4 linked regions of the Oryzias latipes genome follow. The protein of the gene in region 1 purifies or fractionates together with the protein of each later gene. This does not show direct contact. Links are inferred from orthologs where the notes say so. Each region holds a gene or a part of one and is shown in the gene's direction. Other genes may lie near its edges.

The links. The genes of interacting proteins can lie anywhere in the genome.
Region 2: the proteins of ddx20 (region 1) and gemin2 purify together in Homo sapiens (affinity purification with mass spectrometry; 6 studies listed by BioGRID and IntAct, counting the BioPlex papers as one, with this or other methods). This does not show direct contact. The link is inferred for Oryzias latipes from reciprocal best matches to the Homo sapiens genes DDX20 and GEMIN2.
Region 3: the proteins of ddx20 (region 1) and gemin4 purify together in Homo sapiens (co-immunoprecipitation; 7 studies listed by BioGRID and IntAct, counting the BioPlex papers as one, with this or other methods). This does not show direct contact. The link is inferred for Oryzias latipes from reciprocal best matches to the Homo sapiens genes DDX20 and GEMIN4.
Region 4: the proteins of ddx20 (region 1) and gemin5 purify together in Homo sapiens (affinity purification with western blotting; 6 studies listed by BioGRID and IntAct, counting the BioPlex papers as one, with this or other methods). This does not show direct contact. The link is inferred for Oryzias latipes from reciprocal best matches to the Homo sapiens genes DDX20 and GEMIN5.

What each region holds. Positions count from the first base shown.
Region 1 is NC_019865.2:14,534,871-14,539,740, reverse strand, and holds the start of ddx20 (probable ATP-dependent RNA helicase DDX20), read left to right. Parts: upstream 1-1,706; 5' UTR 1,707-1,759; coding exon 1,760-1,955; intron 1,956-2,040; coding exon 2,041-2,135; intron 2,136-2,453; coding exon 2,454-2,622; intron 2,623-2,710; coding exon 2,711-2,825; intron 2,826-2,940; coding exon 2,941-3,083; intron 3,084-3,364; coding exon 3,365-3,503; intron 3,504-3,624; coding exon 3,625-3,683; intron 3,684-3,910; coding exon 3,911-3,993; intron 3,994-4,194; coding exon 4,195-4,300; intron 4,301-4,717; coding exon 4,718-4,819; intron 4,820-4,870.
Region 2 is NC_019880.2:19,642,985-19,647,463, reverse strand, and holds the start of gemin2 (gem-associated protein 2), read left to right. Parts: upstream 1-1,229; 5' UTR 1,230-1,361; coding exon 1,362-1,483; intron 1,484-2,387; exon of another isoform or gene 2,388-2,402; coding exon 2,403-2,487; intron 2,488-2,616; coding exon 2,617-2,706; intron 2,707-2,790; coding exon 2,791-2,850; intron 2,851-2,931; coding exon 2,932-3,048; intron 3,049-4,144; coding exon 4,145-4,189; intron 4,190-4,479. Other genes in the region: transport and Golgi organization protein 1 homolog, read right to left, coding at 411-544, 687-807. UniProt on the Homo sapiens protein: The SMN complex catalyzes the assembly of small nuclear ribonucleoproteins (snRNPs), the building blocks of the spliceosome, and thereby plays an important role in the splicing of cellular pre-mRNAs.
Region 3 is NC_019871.2:19,887,017-19,891,628, forward strand, and holds the start of gemin4 (gem-associated protein 4), read left to right. Parts: upstream 1-1,362; 5' UTR 1,363-1,433; coding exon 1,434-1,521; exon of another isoform or gene 1,522-1,573; coding exon of another isoform or gene 1,574-1,583; intron 1,584-2,295; coding exon 2,296-4,275; intron 4,276-4,516; coding exon 4,517-4,612. Other genes in the region: tapasin-related protein, read right to left, coding at 1-326, 409-684, 755-931, 1,038-1,083. UniProt on the Homo sapiens protein: The SMN complex catalyzes the assembly of small nuclear ribonucleoproteins (snRNPs), the building blocks of the spliceosome, and thereby plays an important role in the splicing of cellular pre-mRNAs.
Region 4 is NC_019872.2:29,402,339-29,406,751, reverse strand, and holds the start of gemin5 (gem-associated protein 5), read left to right. Parts: upstream 1-1,163; 5' UTR 1,164-1,167; coding exon 1,168-1,181; intron 1,182-1,321; exon of another isoform or gene 1,322-1,435; coding exon 1,436-1,590; intron 1,591-2,041; coding exon 2,042-2,196; intron 2,197-2,309; coding exon 2,310-2,491; intron 2,492-2,653; coding exon 2,654-2,805; intron 2,806-2,880; coding exon 2,881-2,976; intron 2,977-3,982; coding exon 3,983-4,115; intron 4,116-4,180; coding exon 4,181-4,346; intron 4,347-4,413. Other genes in the region: mrpl22 (39S ribosomal protein L22, mitochondrial), read right to left, coding at 204-269, 346-475, 932-974, 1,081-1,105. UniProt on the Homo sapiens protein: The SMN complex catalyzes the assembly of small nuclear ribonucleoproteins (snRNPs), the building blocks of the spliceosome, and thereby plays an important role in the splicing of cellular pre-mRNAs.

The sequences.
Region 1 (4,870 bases):
AGATGTTTCATTTTTTCTGTAGCCCCTCTTGAATTTATTATCAGAATTGCTTCAGTGTCAGATTTAAAATATTCAGTCTGTATAAAATTGAACAAACCAATATTTTTATAAAATAATTATTTTTTCTTTTTCTTTTTTTTAAAAAGTGAAATTCATTTTATTTTAAGATCCATTGGCCTCTGTGAATGAATGTGTAATAAGAATTGATTAGGCTACCATGTTGGTTGAGGCATGTTTTCCAATTGGGCTGCACGGTGGCGCAGTGGTTAGCGCTCTTGCCTCACAGCAAGAATCCCCCTGGTTCAAGTCCCAGCTGGGGGACATGAAAAACAGAACATCAATGGGGGACCTTTCTGTGTGGAGTTTGCATGTTCTCCCCGTGCATGCGTGGGTTCTCTCCGGGGTCTCCGGCTTCCTCCCACCATCCAAAAACATGCTTCATAGGTTAATTGGCAACTCTAAATTGACCCTAGGTGTGAGTGCGGGAGTGAATGGGTGTGTGAGTGAGGACATTCTACCCTGCAACAAACTGGCGACTTGTTCAGGGTGTCCCCCCTGCCTTTGCCCACAAGTGGCCGGGATAGGCTCTGGCAGCCTCAAAATTCATAGAAAATGAATGAATGAATGTTTTCCAATTGGGTAAAAAAACAAGAATAAAGCTGTTATTTTGCCTTCACGCTACTGGTCCGGCCCACTTGAGATCAGACGGGTTGAATGTGGCCCCCGAACCAAAATGAGTTTGACACCCCTGCTTTAATCGATTCAAATTTGTAATTAACAAAATCACCCAGGAAATGTATGGAGATTACATGTATATTTTGAAGGTCTCAAAAGATGGCTAAAACCCTCCAGGTTAGATGTAAATTTGAACTAAAATCTATAAAAATCTATAATCTAAATGTGTGATGTTAAACAAATATAGGTGACACAAATGTAGTGTCAGGAATAATTAAAAAAAAACTTGATAAAGCGTAAGTATGTATTTTTTAGAGTTCAGTAATTTCCTAGCTGTTTAAGAGCATTTTCAATGTTAAAAACAAAATTTCATTACATTTTCATTTTTTATTGAGTTTTTCTCTTTAAAGTGTTTTTTATAATTATGGAAAGTTTCAATACGGATCTGTGCATGTTACCAACCCTGGTCTTGTGTGTATTTTTGTGTGTTCTTGTCTTGTGTGAATGCTGCGTGTAATTTTTCACCTCCTGCTTACGTCCAGCTTCCTTTTTGCTTTTCTTTAACTCTATTATTCAAAACAAATAAAACAAATATGCATGAAAAGAACAATATTCATAACAACAAGAATGCCAGGGGATGTTACATGTATTACAAAATAAATATTACAATGACAGATTACTATGCATTGACAATGTTCAACGACAGACAGTTTTCCAGCTTCCTTTTTGCTGCTGCCTCCTGCAGAGCTGGTTGAGGGGGTTCACATTCCACCAATCACCAGGCAAGGAGGGAGGTTTAAAATCTCCCAGAAACCCCTGCTCCAGAGGCGGCTGAATGACCAGGGAGGCATCTGTTCCTCAGCCAGCCCCTGCTGTCTGTCTAGCTTGCCGCAAGATCAAAACTACATCTGTTGTCATAGTAACAAATTAAATTGCAATTCCACTGCCCATCCCCTTGGTTGCAACTCTGAGTAAGCAATTGCCCTCCACGCCAGTAGGTGGCAGACATTGCAATTTGAGGTCACTGCTACCTGGGGCTTTCAGTTCTGATAAGCAGCGTGGAAAAAAAACAGCGGAAAGAAACATGGCTTCCTCTGTGAGAAAAGCAGGCCATGACATCGAAACGCGAAATCGGACCGAGGACGTGCTCCTGTCGGAGGGCATCGACTTCAGCTCTCTGTTGTTATCGCAGCCCGTTCTGGACGGACTGTCCGCTGCTGGTTTCCAGAAACCTTCGCCGATACAACTCAAGGCGATCCCGCTCGGCCGATGTGGACTCGGTTGGCACTTCACTTGTTTTGTTTTTTGATGACTGTTATCGATCTCATTTTTGAAGTAGGTCTTACTCTAGATGTCTTGTTTCAGATTTAATCGTACAAGCCAAGTCTGGCACAGGAAAGACATGCGTGTTCTGCACCATCGCTCTGGACTCTCTGATCCTGGAGAACTCTGCCACTCAGGTGAGTCAGTGAGTCAGTGTTCCCATGTTGTTTTGCATCATGCATTTATGAACAAAAGCTTTAGTGTCCACAGTAAAATTTTATTATAGAAAGCTCATTGGTTTTGGAAGTTCCAATTAAATTAGGTTAACCATCTGTCTTTCCAAAAGAATTTGGTAATATATTAAAGGGAATATAAAATGTAATGTTTGAATCTAGTCTCAAATTTCCCAATTTTTATAGATCTTACAGTATTTAAGAAATGTCGATTTAAACCAAAAATCTCAACTTTTATAGTCCATCGCATTTTGCCCATAAACAGCTTGGGTTCTCCTGCAGGTTCTTGTTTTGGCTCCCACGCGGGAAATAGCGGTGCAGATCCACTCAGTGGTCATGGCCATCGGCTGTGCCATGGAGGGCCTGGAGTGCCACGTTTTCATCGGGGGCAGGCCTGTGAGCCAAGACAAATCCCACCTGAAGAAGTGTCATATAGCTGTGGGGTCACCTGGTAAGAGCCCACTGGACATCCCATAAACCGCTCACGTAATTTTTTAGTTTGGTATCTGATGACGAGGATGCTCCCGTTGTCCCCTTAGGTCGCATCAAACAGCTGATCGAGCTGGGCATGCTGTCCACTGCCAGCATCCGACTGTTTGTTCTGGATGAAGCTGACAAACTGCTGGAGGAGGGGAGCTTCCAGGAGCAAATCAAGTAACAAGGACACAACTGCTGTTGCATTATAGTTCCTTTCTTGTGTTTTCCCCTTCACATGTTGTGTTCAAATTGAAATAAAAATGAAGCAGGACATTGTTTACTCTTTCTTAAGCTGGATCTTCTCAGCTCTGCCCGTCAACAAACAGATGCTGGCACTTTCTGCCACATACCCAGAATCCCTGGCTCAACACCTTACCCGCTACATGAACGAGCCTACTTTTGTTCGACTCAATCCTAAAGACATGGGGCTGAAAGGTGAGGTCCACTTTAGAAAAAGTTCAATCAGCACACCTTTCATTTCCTGACAAACTTCTTTCCTTTTGTTTTGGTTTTATTTGATTATCCAGCGCTAAAAAACTACAGTTGTAGATCTTTTTAAAGCACTGATGTCGTCTTTTTAAAAAATAAAAAAGCTTTTGAGTTGATTTAACAAAATATATTTTCATTGAAACGCTTTTCAGGATTGAGCGTTCTTTGGTGTCAAACCTGATCCCTGACCTGTATCTCACATATGCTGTTTTTTGTTCCCCTGGCAGGTCTGAAGCAGTTTTACAAGCTGGTGCCTTCCCATCCTCTTCCTCACAAGATTTTTGAGGAGAAAGTGCAGCATTTACTGGAACTGTTCAGTAAAATTCCATTCAACCAAGCTTTAGTGTTTTCCAACCTGCACACACGGTAGGTGCGCTCTCCGTGTTAACCTTCGCTCCGCAGCTGCTGCTGTCGATTAATTGTTTCACCAAGCGCGGAGAGAATGGATTTCTTGCTGAAATGGGCTGGGGGTTTTTTTTTGCGGCAGGGCGCAGCACCTGGCAGACATCGTGTCCTCCAAAGGCTTACCTGCTGTCTGCATATCAGGTGAGGCAGCAACTGTAAAATCATTGTAATGAGCAGCAATAGAATCAGTTTTAAGAAATAAGTTACATGTACATGTTTTCATTTGCTAATTTGAATATTTTTAACAACCATAATTTAGGTGGGACCATGACAGTTTTTGAAGCTTTGTGGTTTTTTTAATTTTTTTTTTTTATGGCAAAGGTAAAGTTTCATGTGCGGTTATAGGTGGTGCGTGTTAATCTGCACAGGTGGACTCAGTCAGGATCAGAGACTGGAAGCCATGTCAAAACTGAAGCAATACCAGTGCAGAGTGCTCATCTCCACTGACCTGGTGAGAGAACGGCTTTGCTGTTATTACTTTTACTTTTTTTATTTTTATTTTTATTTTGTTTTTACAAGGAGGGATTCTGACCTTTTTATATTTCATCAACCACAGCCTTATTTAAACAAGAACGAAAGCAGAAATGTAAAATATCTGGTTTCCTGTCCTTAATAATGTTGGTGCTGCTTCCTGTTTGCTTCCCTTTGACAGACGTCCAGAGGAATCGATGCTGAGAAAGTAAACCTGGTTATAAACCTGGACGTGCCGCAGGATTGGGAAACTTACATGCACAGGATCGGACGGGCTGGGCGCTTTGGTACGCCTCCAACAACATGGAGCAATCTTTGTGAATCATTGAGGAAGTCTGGATGGATTATTAGTGGAGGAGTGTTGCGTCTTTGTTGCAGAATCCTTCATCTGTTCAGGTTTTCAGGAACCAGCAGCTTTTTGCTGCAGATGTTTCCTCATCAGCTTAACTCTCACTCAAATACCTTCAGGTCAAAATGTCCATCTGAATTTTTTAGAATTCTGTGCTTTTTTTTTTGCATTCATTTATATTCAGATTTGAAGGGAACGTATTGGAACTCTGAAGTTTTTAGTGTAACCAAATCGATCTAATTTGTTGATTGGTGTGAAAGGGGTGTATCAATGTATCATCACGACTTTTACTCCATTTCAATTTAGTTCTACAGAAAGGAGAGCTTTCTTTGTGATTTCTCTGTTTGGTTACTAGGCACTCATGGGCTGGCTGTGACCTACTGTTGCCATGGTGAAGAAGAAAACAAGATGATGGCCATCGCTCAGAAATGTGGTCTTAGTTTGCATGCTCTGCCATGTGAGTCCTGCTGACATTTTTGACTTTTTGACATGAAAATGCCTTGCCGTC
Region 2 (4,479 bases), on another chromosome or scaffold:
GATATGTGAAACTTAAATGCTGAAAAGCAACAAGCTTTTGATAAGATGCTCTGAAACTAAAGAAATCAAAATCTAATTCATATTTAACAGGTCAAAAACACAAAAATTAGATTAGATTCAATATTATTGTCATTGCGTGAGTACAAGAACAGGCATCAAAATATTAAATTCTAACAGAATTTTCAAATTAGTTTAAACATGACTATATTTAAACATTCAAAATAAAACTCTTCCATCCAACGGTTAAATGAAAGTCAAAGATGTCAGCATCCCAAATAAACACTAAGGCTTTTTGTATAATAAGGAATATTGTTTTGTTCAACCAAAGACCTTGGATAAGGGACAATTTACATTAAGGTTTCATGATAAGGAGGCGACAGAGATATAAAAGAGATGAAAATTGGACATACACTGCCTGCCCACAGATCCTCCCTCTTTCCTGTAAGTTTGTGGTAGACAAAAATGATATCTCCACGTCTGAAGCTTAGAAAACGGCAGTCGTTACTCTTGTGGTCCCTTATGGCCTGAACCCTGCTCATTAGGCCTACACACACAAACACAAGTGATCAGTTGCATTAAAATGATTAAAATGTCTTTAATAAACCAACTAAGCTAAATTCATGCATAAAATATAACAGTATTTTTTAGGAACTTCAAACTATTTTGACACAAGTGTTTGGACTTACTTTCACACTCAGAATCTCCACAGATCTTGTAGTCGGATAACATTCCTGGATTTATAAGAGGCAAAATCACAAACGTTAGACCCACAATCCAACAGAATTTATGTAGCAGGGAAACATCCATTTTGGGTGCTTTAGCTGGAGTGTATCATAGAAAAAGTCCCATATTTGAGAAGAAATCCCTTTGACCTGCTGTTCAGGAAAGTGGACATTGACTCTGTGCTGTTTCTCTCATGAAACCTCACTAGTGGTAAACGAAAGAATGGAGATAAGATATAACGCTAGCATGAAGCTAATAATTAACAACGTTGCTCGTAACCTGATTGCAGAACAAAACAATTTAGCTCTAATGTCAAAAGTTTATTTTTTTCATTCACCAACTTGATTTGAAATTTTTTTATTTATTAAACAGCTTCTGCGGTTGAATTGAGGTATAATAAACGTGTTTAAATGCGCAACATAAAATGCTCGTGGACTTCGTTCCTTGTCGCTGCCAAAGTTTCAGGCGCTGTCACGTCACTATGGAAACAAATCTCGCCTCGCGCACAAAATTGGCGTCATCAAATCTAGTTTGAAAAACAAAATGGCGCTTGTTGGACAACAGTAAATACTAGCATCTGCCTAGTCTTCGTTTTAATGTCCTGATTTCGCTTAAGAGTTTTACATTATTAGCGGAAAATGAAGTCGGATGTTGAGGAGTTAATGCCAAGGCTGCTTCCGGTGGAGTTAGGACAAGACACCGAGCACGTAGACCTCAGCGGTCCACCGAGGAACCCCCAGGAGTACTTGCGACAGGTCCAGTAAGTTCTCCCTTCTGTTCTCATTAAAGTGGAAAGCCAGTGTTTTCATAATTAAAATGCTTTAGAATAGCAAAGCATTGGTATAAAAAAAATTGTATAAAACCAAAGTTCCTATTTACAGTCTATGTATCGAACCGTGGAATTAGCTCTCCACTTAGTATATTTAAGTGTTTCTGTTGTTTCTTTTCAACAAACTTTATTATCAATACTTATTGTATTAACTGAATAGAATAATATAGGTAAAAGAAAACACTACACAGGTTGCACAACACGTGCCACCTGTACTTTAATAATCAGTCCAGTCCAATTATTTTTGAACATAGAATATAAGTAAATAAAATATAATATGCCGTTTCTTTAAAATATCAAATGTTCTTGTCGCCTTCAATATGGACTGCTTATATGTATGAATGAGGAATGTCCCAAAAATAATGAACAGTTCAGTAACAAAACTTACCTTTTTGGGCAAACCATGTAATTAAAAATATAATATGACATTAAAAAAAGAATTCAGAGAGTTATATTAAATTTTGTGGTTATAAATTCACGCAGATCCGACCAAAATTGCTTGGTGTACATAGAAAGAATAAATAAATGAAAATTGTCTCCTTACTTGATTGGCAAAAAACAAAATTGTTCTGTTTATTTTAAATCTTCTTAGTGTATCTTTAACTGGGTAGAAAGCAAAATAAAACCTATTTTATTTTAATATTAATACAGTATTTATGAACAGAAGTATTAGTCTTTTCCCAATTTAAATCACCCATGGTTGAATACCAAAAAGATTTAGCAGCAAGAAATTCAACTTCTTCTAATAAAAAGATTATTGATTTCAACATCTGTGAATGACTCGTTTTAGAAATTGAAGAGAAGATATTAGCTGTGTTTCCCAGTGACCCCTCACCTCCTTGTGATGTAGGTTGGAAGCGTCCATGTGTCCAGAGGTGGTGGTTGCTCAAATTGACCCTAAGAAACTAAAGAAGAAGCAAACAGTCCATGTATCTGTAAGTGAAAATCTATTTATTTGGTCAAATCTTTATTTGTTAAGGCTTTGTCTGTGTGGTGAGGTCATGTATAGTTGACTCTGCAGCCAAGAGACATGATAATCTGGAAAACCATATTTTCTGTCTCAGGTAGCTGGGTGCCACGCTCCCCCAGTAGGTTTCTCCCCCAGCCTTCACTGGCAACAACAACAAGTCAGTAATTTTTCTGACGTGAGACGGGTAAGAAAAACTAAAAGAACAGTGTGTTGCTTTTATATCTCACTTATATTTCTGCTTATAATGTCTAATTTTTTAATTTACTAGAGCATCACCAAGAATAGAAAACATTGGAGCAGCCAGACTCTGGATAATAATGTACGCATGGTAAGATGTCAAATCCCGCTGCAATGTTAGCAAAGGTCAAAGGTGCTCATTTGCATAATATTTAAGTGTGATCTTTTACAGCCAAACCTTACAGATGAGGAGGGCTGGAAGAAGTTTTGTTTAGGAGAGAGGATCTACTTGGGCGCATCAGCCTGCCCCACAGATGCAAAACCAGAGGCAGAACTGGACTATAGCAAGGTTGTCAACTAAACTGTTGTTAGAATTTTTAAACGCCAAAGTTTTGAAACAAAAAGTTTCAAATAAGACTTTTTTTCTTTTTTGTTAACTTGTTCTGTCCAACAGCTGAGCAAACAGATCAGAGCTGAAGGCCTCTTGTGTTTGAGAGATTTTACTGTTACAATAGGGGGTCATGAATCTTCTGACACACAAGGGGTATATTTATTTAAACTCTTCTGTATTTGAGGGTAAACTTTATTTATATTGATTATGTTTGTATACCTGTTTTGAAAAGGGAAAAGGGGGGGGGGGTTAAAGGAAGTTGGAGCATGATCAAAGAAGTAGAGTGGGGGTAGATTCAGAATCATAAAGCAAAAAGTTGCTGGAGGTTTATCATTATTACTGTCAGATTAAGGCATTAGTCAAAAGGAGCTAACAGGTATGTTACAAACATACCTGTGTGAAATCTTCACATTCCATATGTCAACACATACACGATACAACTACAGCTCACACAAAAATACTTATGCATACATAAAGAGAGAGGAGCCAAGAAAGCACACCAACTTGACCGAGGCAGTTTGACCAGCCAGGGCTCTCCATGATTGTCTCATTGCTGACCCCAACCCTCTGTAGTCCCATCCTGATGGAGGACCCCCTTCCCAGAGGACAGAGCCAACCAGTCTACCAGCCCCCCCCCCCCCCCCCCCCCCCCCCCCCCCCCCCAGATCCTGCAGCCATGGCAGGTGTCACCCAGAGCAACTGCAAACCCCAAGAGGGTTGCCCCACCCCGTCCCAGGACCAGAAGAGTGCAGAGGTGCAGGCCCAGGGTCTCCTGCACCTGGGCCTGCACCTCCTCCTCCTGTCCTAACCCCCCCTGAAAAGACCACTCCCCAAGCCAAGCCAGACCCCCTCAACCGCACCGACCAAACTCTCCCAAGACCATGCAGTACCCCCACCTGCCCACTTCCAGGCGCCCAACCAGGTCCCCCTAACTAACGAAGCCTCCACTGCCCCCCTCCAGCCCCAGAAATAAGGCACTTTAATAGGCATGTTACATTGAGGGACAACGTGAAAACTAGATTTTACTGATGTGTTTGTTTTCATTTTTTTTCAGGTTGGGTTTCCTCCATTCTTAACCATCGTATGCAGACTAAACCAGGTAATTGTTTTTTAACTGAACAGATGATAAAAAAGTAATTTCAATCTTCTTTTGAGTAAATAAGCTTTATAAAAATGTAGAACATAAAGGAGCAGGGATTTGGCAAAATCTCAATTTGTGGATGTGAAATGTGAAGTAAAGACCCACTCAGATGAAAATTGGGTTTTTAACATGTTCTTGTGGTATTTTCTGATGATGGCCTTGTATGTCACATAGCCACTACTTACATTTGCATTTTCTTCATATGAAATTTTGGTCTTTATGTGAATTCAGTTTTGAGCTATTTACAT
Region 3 (4,612 bases), on another chromosome or scaffold:
GACGTGCAGGTTGAGCTCCATGTTGGCGAAAAGCGGGTTCACAGTCAAAGAACAAATGTAGCTTCCTTCGCTGCTCATCTTGGTGAAGGGGAGAGTGTAGGAGGCATCTCCCCCAGCCAGGGCCTTCTTCCCAACTCCAGAGCCATGAATCTCCCCGGAGCGGCTGTTGTAGCGGAAGAGCATCCTTCTCTCTCCGCGGGACTGCCAGTGCCACTCCACGGTGACGTTTGGGCCTCGGTGGTCGATGCTGAACTGACAGTGGAGTTTGGGCTGCGAGCGTAGTCTGACTTTCACAGATGGAGTCTCTGTTTTCAGCAACATGGCGACTATGGACACAAATAGGATGAACCCTCTTACAGGCCTTCGTTCTGACATGCAGAAGCAGCGTCAGATGAAGGGGACACCTACCTGTGGTGGTAAGAACCTCTCGGTCGGCGATGGGCGGCCAGCTGCGGTAGTCCTGCTGTCCTGGAGGAGGTTGGTCAGACGGATGTCTGAGGAAAGCAGTGACGCTGAACTTGTCCTTTCTGTGTCTGAGGATGCAGGTGTACCAGCGGTTGTACCCCTCTGCCCCCAGGGCGGGCCAGCGGACATGGATGCCCTCTGTGCTGTACCGTCGGACCTCACACTCCAACTCCTCTACCTCCACCCCTTCAATGGACCGCTGCAGGTCCAGTTTTGAAACTAAAGCAACATAAAAAGTCATGAATGTAATTCTTTCCTGCCCCGATTCGTGTCTTGGACAGAAGCTCACCAGTGATCAGGAAGGTGATGGCGTGGGGATTGACAGGAGCGTCTCCTTTTAGACCAAACTGAACCATAGCCTCTCTGGGAATGAGCTGTGTCTCAATGTGTCCTTCACTGTTGTTGGACACATGTTCGTCAGTGAACTGACATGACAGCCATGGTATCTGCTGAACGCTCCTCACAACTGAGAACACAGAAAAACTAACATTAAACACACCCTTCATTTAAATTTAGTTCCTTTCATGAACTAACTGATAGAACAGCTGCAAACATACTTTAAAATAACTTACCTCCAATCACATAAAAGTAAATAACAACTTTCTGAAATACTCCCATTTTGATTATTCAATTGAATTTCTTGGTTCACCTTGTTTCTACCAGCAGCCAGGATCTAAAAAGTACTTTCATTTTCACTTCTGCAGAAAAAAAACGATTTGCCTTTAGCTCGCGTCACATGACCTACAAGATTAAAACCATAACAAAAAAAAAACATTTTTATATATATTCATAAACACAATAACAAATGAAATGACGTTTAAATCTGATGTAAAATATTTAAATCTCGCTCCGAAGAAAAACGTTAAAACTGCAGTACCGAATTTATCCGGGTGCGTCGCTGTGAACAAACATCCGGTATATGCGTCGCATGGCGGAAGCGTGTTTGCGGCTGCGCAGTTCTGCTGTGGATGTTTTTAGTTGGATTATGTTGTTTCAGAAATCTAACTTTAAACTTCGGAAACCGTGAACGTAACGGCGCGTTTAGAGAGTTTCCAGGTAAACGGATTACACTGGTATTTACCTGCACGCAACAATTATCACGGTGATAATGGACAAAGGTAAAATAGCTTTTATTTTTACTCTCTCTGTAGACCAGTTAAGTCACTGACTTTAAGTTAAAATAAATTCTTACAAAAGAAAATATTATTTAATAAAGAAAAGCAATGTTTTTTAATTTAAATTGTTTTTCCAACACACGACGCATTCATACCGATTTACACACGCGGTGAACCGCTTTGAATTGTGGGAAACTGAGTTTGGTGTGGTAAAATGAATGACATATGGATCCCCTGAAGGGATTTGGCAAAAGGTGAATAACAACAAGATCTACACTGATCCTGACATAAAGACGAACGCACACAAACACTCACACATTAAACACAATAAAAACTATATGGCTCTGTCCATGAAAACTGAGTTATTTATTGGAGATCATATCTGAAAGTTGAGAAGAAGCTTTGGTGTTTTTATCTGTGGATACGGTGGCCCTGAAGTTCAAATCACATCCACAAATTACTGTTTTAAAACATCACACAGCAGTCCTGGAATGCAAAAACAAAATTGTTTTTGCAATTCTTGTTTCTTACTGCATATTTGAATGAAAACTTGACACCCCACCCCACCCCCCGCTTTAATTTTGTTTAGATTTATCAAATGTAACGTTTTCTTGTTATTTTATTGCTTTTGTTGTTGTTATCTTTAAGATGTCTTTACATTGATATGATGATGTGATTGGCACTTCAGGGCTCTGATTATGTCATGTGATTTCAGGCTCTGCGGTTCTGCAGGGGGCTTTCCTGCTGGCAGACAAACTGTGTCGCCCCTCATTTCTATCCTGCGTGAACAAATCCGACTGGATCGCGGCGGGACGCCCGATCCTACAGGCTCTGCAGGAAGTCTGTGAACTGGAGGAAGCTGACGGTCATCACAGCTCGACCTGGACGAAGAAGGTGGTCTGTGCTGTGTGGCTGAAGCTCTTGAGCGCTGAGGAGGATGTTGAGAGAGCGTGGAGGGAGAACCCCTTTTTTTCCTTCCAGCAGAGCCTCCCTGAAGTTAACCATGTTGTCCTGTTGGAGTTGGTGAAGAACGCTGCTGCTTCACATGTTTACGCAGGTTTTCTCCTTCATCTTCCTGAAGATTTGATCTGCTTGGAGCTGAAGAGGCTGGTAGAGCATGTGAAGAGCGAGCCTACAAGCGAAGAGGATGTTCATTTCTTTCTAGAGATGTGGCGGGAGCTGTGGAAAGGCCAAGAGCAAGCCAAGCTCAGAAACGACGAGAGCATGGAGATGATGTTTGCCAAGCAGGTTGCTCGTCTCACCTCCATGTCTTCTAGTTTGTCTCCTCAGGCTGCCAAGAGGTTAAAGCTGGAGACACAAGACTCAGCAGAGGCTGATGTTTTCCACATTCTCCTCAATGCCCTCAAAGACATGGCAGATCACGTCTCCTCATTAGACCTGTGCTTCCAGTCTCTCTCCATGTCCCTTGATGCTCTTTTTACATCATTTCTGATAGACCGAGAAGTTGTTCTATCAGCTCAGGAGAAGATGGACATCCTGTGTAAAGCCATCAGTACTAAAGGAAAGAATGAAAAACTTCAACCTGAACTTGTTGAAGAAGCTCAGAGACATTTACGGGCTTCGATTTCCCCGTCTCAGTTCAAAGTCAGGAGGATGGATCTGGGTGAAGCTCTGAGGGTCATAGCAGAACTTAGTCAGTCTTGGAAAGACCGAGGACTCTTGGACGTCCAGGACGGCTCTCGCTCCTCCTACTCTGCTTTCCAGCTGGAGCAAAGTGTCCAGAGAGTCTCCACTGCTCTGGAAGAAGCTCCCACAGCAGCGACAGAGAAGAACCTGCTCGTGGCTGTGCTGAAGTCTCTGGTTCTTCCTGTCACAGAGAGCAGCCCTGAGGTGCATGCTCAGGTGCTCTCCACCATCATCACTCACCGCCTGGAAGACCACGAGAGCTTCGCTGCCTTGTTTGCCAGAGAGCCGCCCTGGACGCACTGTGATGAAGGCTGGATGGATTGCCTGGAGAGGAGCCAAGCTTCCTTCCGTCAGCATGACGCCGTGATCGGCCTCTCCTCTACTCTAATGAACAAACTACGCATGGAGAATGCAGACGTCAGCCAGTGCAGAAAGCTGATGAAAATCATAGCAGATATCTTCTCCAGCCTTTCCTTAGAAGACATGAACAAAGCCTTGGTGTCCATGTTAAGATTGTCTAGGAAGGGCTTCTTCGAATTCCCCGTTCCTCCTGAGGTGGCTGGAGGGTTTGAGCAGGAGCTCAACATGGCCTTCAACTGCATCATCCAAGCAGGAAGTGGAGCGTCCTCAGCTGTTCCTCAAGGGAACCTGACCACGGCCGTCTCACTCGTAGCCAGAGTGGCTTTTCAGAACCCAGAAGGCGCCTTACGGTCCTGCTGCCACTCAGCTGTTTTCAATAAAGGAGCATTTTCGATGATGGCAAAGATCCTGCAGCATCTGCCTGGACTCAGCGGTCAGAGAGGAGGAGATGGAGATGGAAGGAGGAGCGGAGAGGAGAACACGGCTAAAGACGGGACCTCTAGTCTGCTCTGCAGGTGCCTACACCAGACGGTCAAGGACAAGTCCCTGTCAGCCAACGAGAAGGAACAGTTTGCCAAATTCCTCGGTCTGCTGATGGGTCCAAACGTGGACGAGGGAAAGGAACAAAGCTTCCTGTCACCTCAGGAGGTTATAAACACCTTCGTCCTCCCTAACCTTTCATCTGTAGGTGAGGATCCTTTACAATGTTCCTGACATTTGAAGAAGACTCTTAAGAATCTTTTATTCTGAAATTTGGTGTCAGAATCATCAGTTTGAACTGTTAGAAGTGGTGCAACGTTCATGAGCTCCTCATCTGTTATAGCCTCTAATGACTAAGTCGTTTTATTTTTGTACACTTTGATTTATCAGAATTCAACATTTTACATAATACGTCACATGTTCTTCATCCGTTCTCCACATCTGCTCAGGTTCCTCCTCTGTGGATGCAGAGTTGAGTCTGCAGCTTCTTCACACAGCTTTGTCCTTGGATGTGCAGCCAGGAGCCTCCAGCTCTCACTGGCTGA
Region 4 (4,413 bases), on another chromosome or scaffold:
AGCCCTAAAGTCCATGTCAGAGTTCCTTAGTGGAACAATAAAGTTTTAATGAATTTAAATGACTCTTTGTGTGCTTTACAACACAAAGAATCAGACTTGACAGAGTATTTCATCTGCAGAACTTCGGTGAATATCAATGTAGAGGTTTAACCACTGAGTTTCATTTACAGTCATGGTTCTCAGATCCAGCTCAGACTTCTCACCATTTTAGCCAGGTACCACATCTTGTCTTTGCTGTATTTGATCTGCCTCCTGCAGTGGTGGATCTCCTGCAGGAAGAGGAAAGCCAGCTTGATGGAAAAGCAGCAGCGGAAACGTTCTCAGGCGGTCAGCGGACGGACTCACGGCTGGTCTGCGGGGCTCCTCTGGCTGCTGGGGTGGAAACACCTTCAGGTTCTTCCTCTCCCAGCTCTTTGAGCTCAGCGAAGAGCCGGTGTGGAGCCACGAGAGCCGCTGGGGTGGAGCGGCCAACCTGCTGAGGAAGAGAGCAGCGATGAAAATCATTGCAATCGCTGTGTGCTCACTTTTACATGTTTAACTCTTAAAACTGCCAGTCTTTCAGCCATTTTTACACGTTTTATGTGAATTTTATTCACCTTTTCAAAATTATTATGAAATTATTTTATGTTTATTTAGTAGTTGCTTTAAAAATATTACAATATTTCCTCTGTAATGTTTTCATCAGTTATTTTGCAGCTTTTGCTCAAATATAATAAAAGCAGAAAATAATTCCCATTTTAAACCATATAACCTCGTTTTCTTAGTATGTCCAGGTTGTTTGTCTAATTTAATGTCACTAAGCACGTTTATGTCAGTAGTAAACGTAATCAATCGTTTCTGATCCATTCTAAAATATTCTTTGAATTTAGTTTTTACCTTCAAAAAAAGAGAAAAAAAAACCAAAACGTTTGTTGAAACCGTTTGTTCTCACCTTGAACGAAATAGTCCGGAAAGGCTTCTGACGAAGGAGAAACCTGAACCAAGAGTTAGATAAAGTCAAAGCAGAGACAGACTCAAACAAACCACTTTTAAATGTAAGCATTTGTAGATTTAAATGAAGTTTTTCTTTTCATTTCTCACCAGATCCAGCCCCTGCGGCCGCCATGATGGATTTCTGATCAGCCGCATTCTTCGCCTGACTGTCGTAAATACTTCCGGGGGAAAGAAATGAAGATTATCCGGTCATTTGAGATCTTAAATACTTTAAAAAACGTTTTTACTTTATTTTTTATGATTATATAAAAATATAAATGAAAACGCAATAAGGAAAAATAAAAGAGCAAAGTCTGATATATTTGACCCAGTTAGGGTGCCGTAATCTATGCACGAGATTTACGACAGCAGACACCTCGTGCGGCAGTTTGTGTTGTTACGTTGAGGACACGTGAGGAGCTTGATTTTAAACTTCAGGAGCAGAAATCACCTTTTTTTAAAGTTTGCAGGGCGCCATGGCCGACAGGTCTCTGCCCGCCTCGCCGAACTGGTACTGCTCGCGCTGCAGTGACGTCAGCAGCAGTGGCTTACTGGGTGTCGGTGCCAGAAATGTGGTTTATTTGATTGACGTGAGCGCCTCCGCGTGCCGAGTCACAGGTGAGTGGGATCTCTGCCCTGAAACAGACGAACAGGAAACTGTGGAGTCTGTTCCCGCAGCCACAATCTCCCCCTAACCCTGCCTTCATCCTCCTCATCCTCCTCTTTCCTGGTAGCTTCCCTGTTCCTCCTCTAACCTGTCCAAACATCTCCATCTGCTTTCCTGCATGGGTCTCCAGAACATCTACCTGTCTGTTCCTCTGATGGACTCATTCCTGATCCATCCTGGTCCCAAAGAGAAGCTCAGCATCTTCATCTCTGCTTCCTGTCTCTAAGCCGTCAACATTGGTGCTCTCTCCACCATCTTTCATAATTCATGACACTCTTTGGTCACACCGGACCCTTCCTCCCCCCGTTCCAACCTGCTCCCCCTCTGCCCTTCATGGGGCAGTCGTGTTTTCTTTGAGCTCCGCTCCCACGGCTGACCCGGCTGTTGCTGTGGGTTCTGCAGGACAGCTGGTGGGCCACGCGGACCTGGTGTCGGGCTTTTCTTTCTGTCAGCACGCGGGTCAGAACCATGTCTGCGCCAGCTCCTCCACCGACGGCAGCGTCCGCTTCTGGGACTCAAACAGCAGGACGTTGGTCAGGGAGCAGGTGGCTCATCAGGTGAGGTTTCAGGTCACGTTGGCCCCTCCCACAGGCTCCACTGTTTTAGTCGGAGCTGTCGGAGGGAAGTGGATGTTCTGGTGGTCCTCACGGAGATGCGGTTTTCCACACAGACCCCCGTCTCGGCTCTGCACTGGTCTCCTGTGGACAAAGACCTGGTGGTGTCGGGGGACGAGAAAGGGGTGGTGGTGTGCCACTGGTTCCACACCGGAGACACCGCCAGCTTCTTCCCTGAGCCCAGGACCATCGTCTGCCTCACCTGCTCGCCTCACACCTGGAGCTCTGTGGCTATTGGGTACTGGGAAATCACCATGGTTACCGTCTAGACTCAGAGCAGCTATCCATGTTTTAGAGTTTCCAAGCTTTGTTTTGAAAATCCTTCAGAGAAGTGAATCAGAGGAGAAAGACTGGAGGTCAGGACGTTGTGTGTGATTTTTTTATTTTTTCTTGGCTGCAGGTACAAAGACGGGATGATCGTGCTGGTGGATGTCAGTAAGAAAGGGGAGGTGATGCACCGTCTCCGTGGACACGACAATGAGATCCACTCGCTGGCGTGGTCGCCTGTGTCGGGGGAGTCGGCGCTGTTCAGCAGAGCTGAGGACGACGAAGGTTCTGCAGAACGGAGCGGGTTTGGGCTGCAGGTCGTTTCAGCAGCGACTCTAAACGGATTCTGTGGTTTTGCAGCAGCAAACGGAGGGTCTGCAGGAGAACACGGATGCTACCTCGCTTCTGGGAGCAAAGACCAGACGGTGAGGGTGTGGAGCACCTCCAGGGGCAAAGGTGAGGGGAGAAGATCGGAACATTTTCTCATCGGGAGCTGCAGCAGCTCCTCTGTTCTATGGAGTGATATCTATGCCACCACGTTGCAGACAAAACCTTCTAAGTCGCAAATGAAAATATTAAATATTTGCTTTCAAATAGTTTTTTCTTAACTTGTCCTGTCCAACAGCTGGGCAGGCAGATGAGAGCTGAGGGCCTCTTGTGTTGGACATATTTTACTTTAACAAGAGGGGTTATGAATCTTCAGACAAACCAGAGGTATGACTGAATAAACCCCTTTTGGAATCCAGGCCAAACTTTATTAATTTTTTTGTGTTGGACCGGACGGAAAAGGAAAGGAGGGAAGAAGAGAGAGGGATATTAGAGAGAGTGGCATAGGAGGGTGATTATAAAAAATGGGGGGTAAAACCATGAAGCAGCATAAAGCAACAAGTTTCTGGATGTTTATCATTACGGTAAGTTACAGATAGAATACAAATCTCAAAAGGGCGGGGCCTGTCCACACACTCAAATGTTATCAACACGCTTTCTAGCTGCAAAAATGTCCACATGTCAACATGTACACAAAACAGATAGTGTTCACACACGCATACTTATGCCTCAAACCAACTAGTGTGAAATATTTTATTCAATCATGCAAACTATTAGTGCAAAGGTGAGCTAACACCTGTGTTCAGGTGAGTGTTTATGTTCTTCTAAAATGGATGGTGGAATGTGAAAAGAAGGGAGAGAGAGTGACCAGCCACCCCCATCCCAAGACCCCCGCCGCAGCAGCAGCGGCCCAGAATCCAGATTCTAACCAATCAGGTCAAACATTTGCATGTTTATTTTTGATAAAGCAAAAATATTTTCCTTGACAACTTAGGAAGTTGAGTTCGCAGCGTGGCGGCGTAAATAACACTCCATTCTGGTCATCTTTTTCCTCCTTCCCAAACATCTCTGCCCGTGGAGTTTTCGTATCGAGTAAAAAGCTGTTAAAGGTGAGAACGCTGCTCTCCTCCTGCAGGAGTGATGACCTTAAAGCTGCCGTTTCTGAAGAGAAGAGCCTCCGCCGTCGACCCCGGGGTCAAAGAGCGGATCTGGCTCAGCGTCCTCTGGCCCCCGGGACGACCCACCGAGCTGGTGTCCAGCTGCTTCAGGTAGATCCGGCAGCGTCCCGCTCGGAGCTGCGACCGCACCTTCATGTTCCTCTGTGCTCCCCCAGCGGAGAGCTGCTGCTGTGGGACCTGACCAAAGGCGGGAAGCAGCGCTGGACGTTGTTCGGGTCCTCCTCAGAGGGTCAGAACCACAGCCGGATCGTCTTCAACACCAGCTCGCTGCGTCTGCAGGACGGAGGGGAGCTGCTCTTCAGCACCTCCATGGACCGGGAGGCGAGTCTTCTCCTGCTAAACACAAAAGATCTGATTTCAGAATCAGATCTTTTGGCTTCAAACTCAG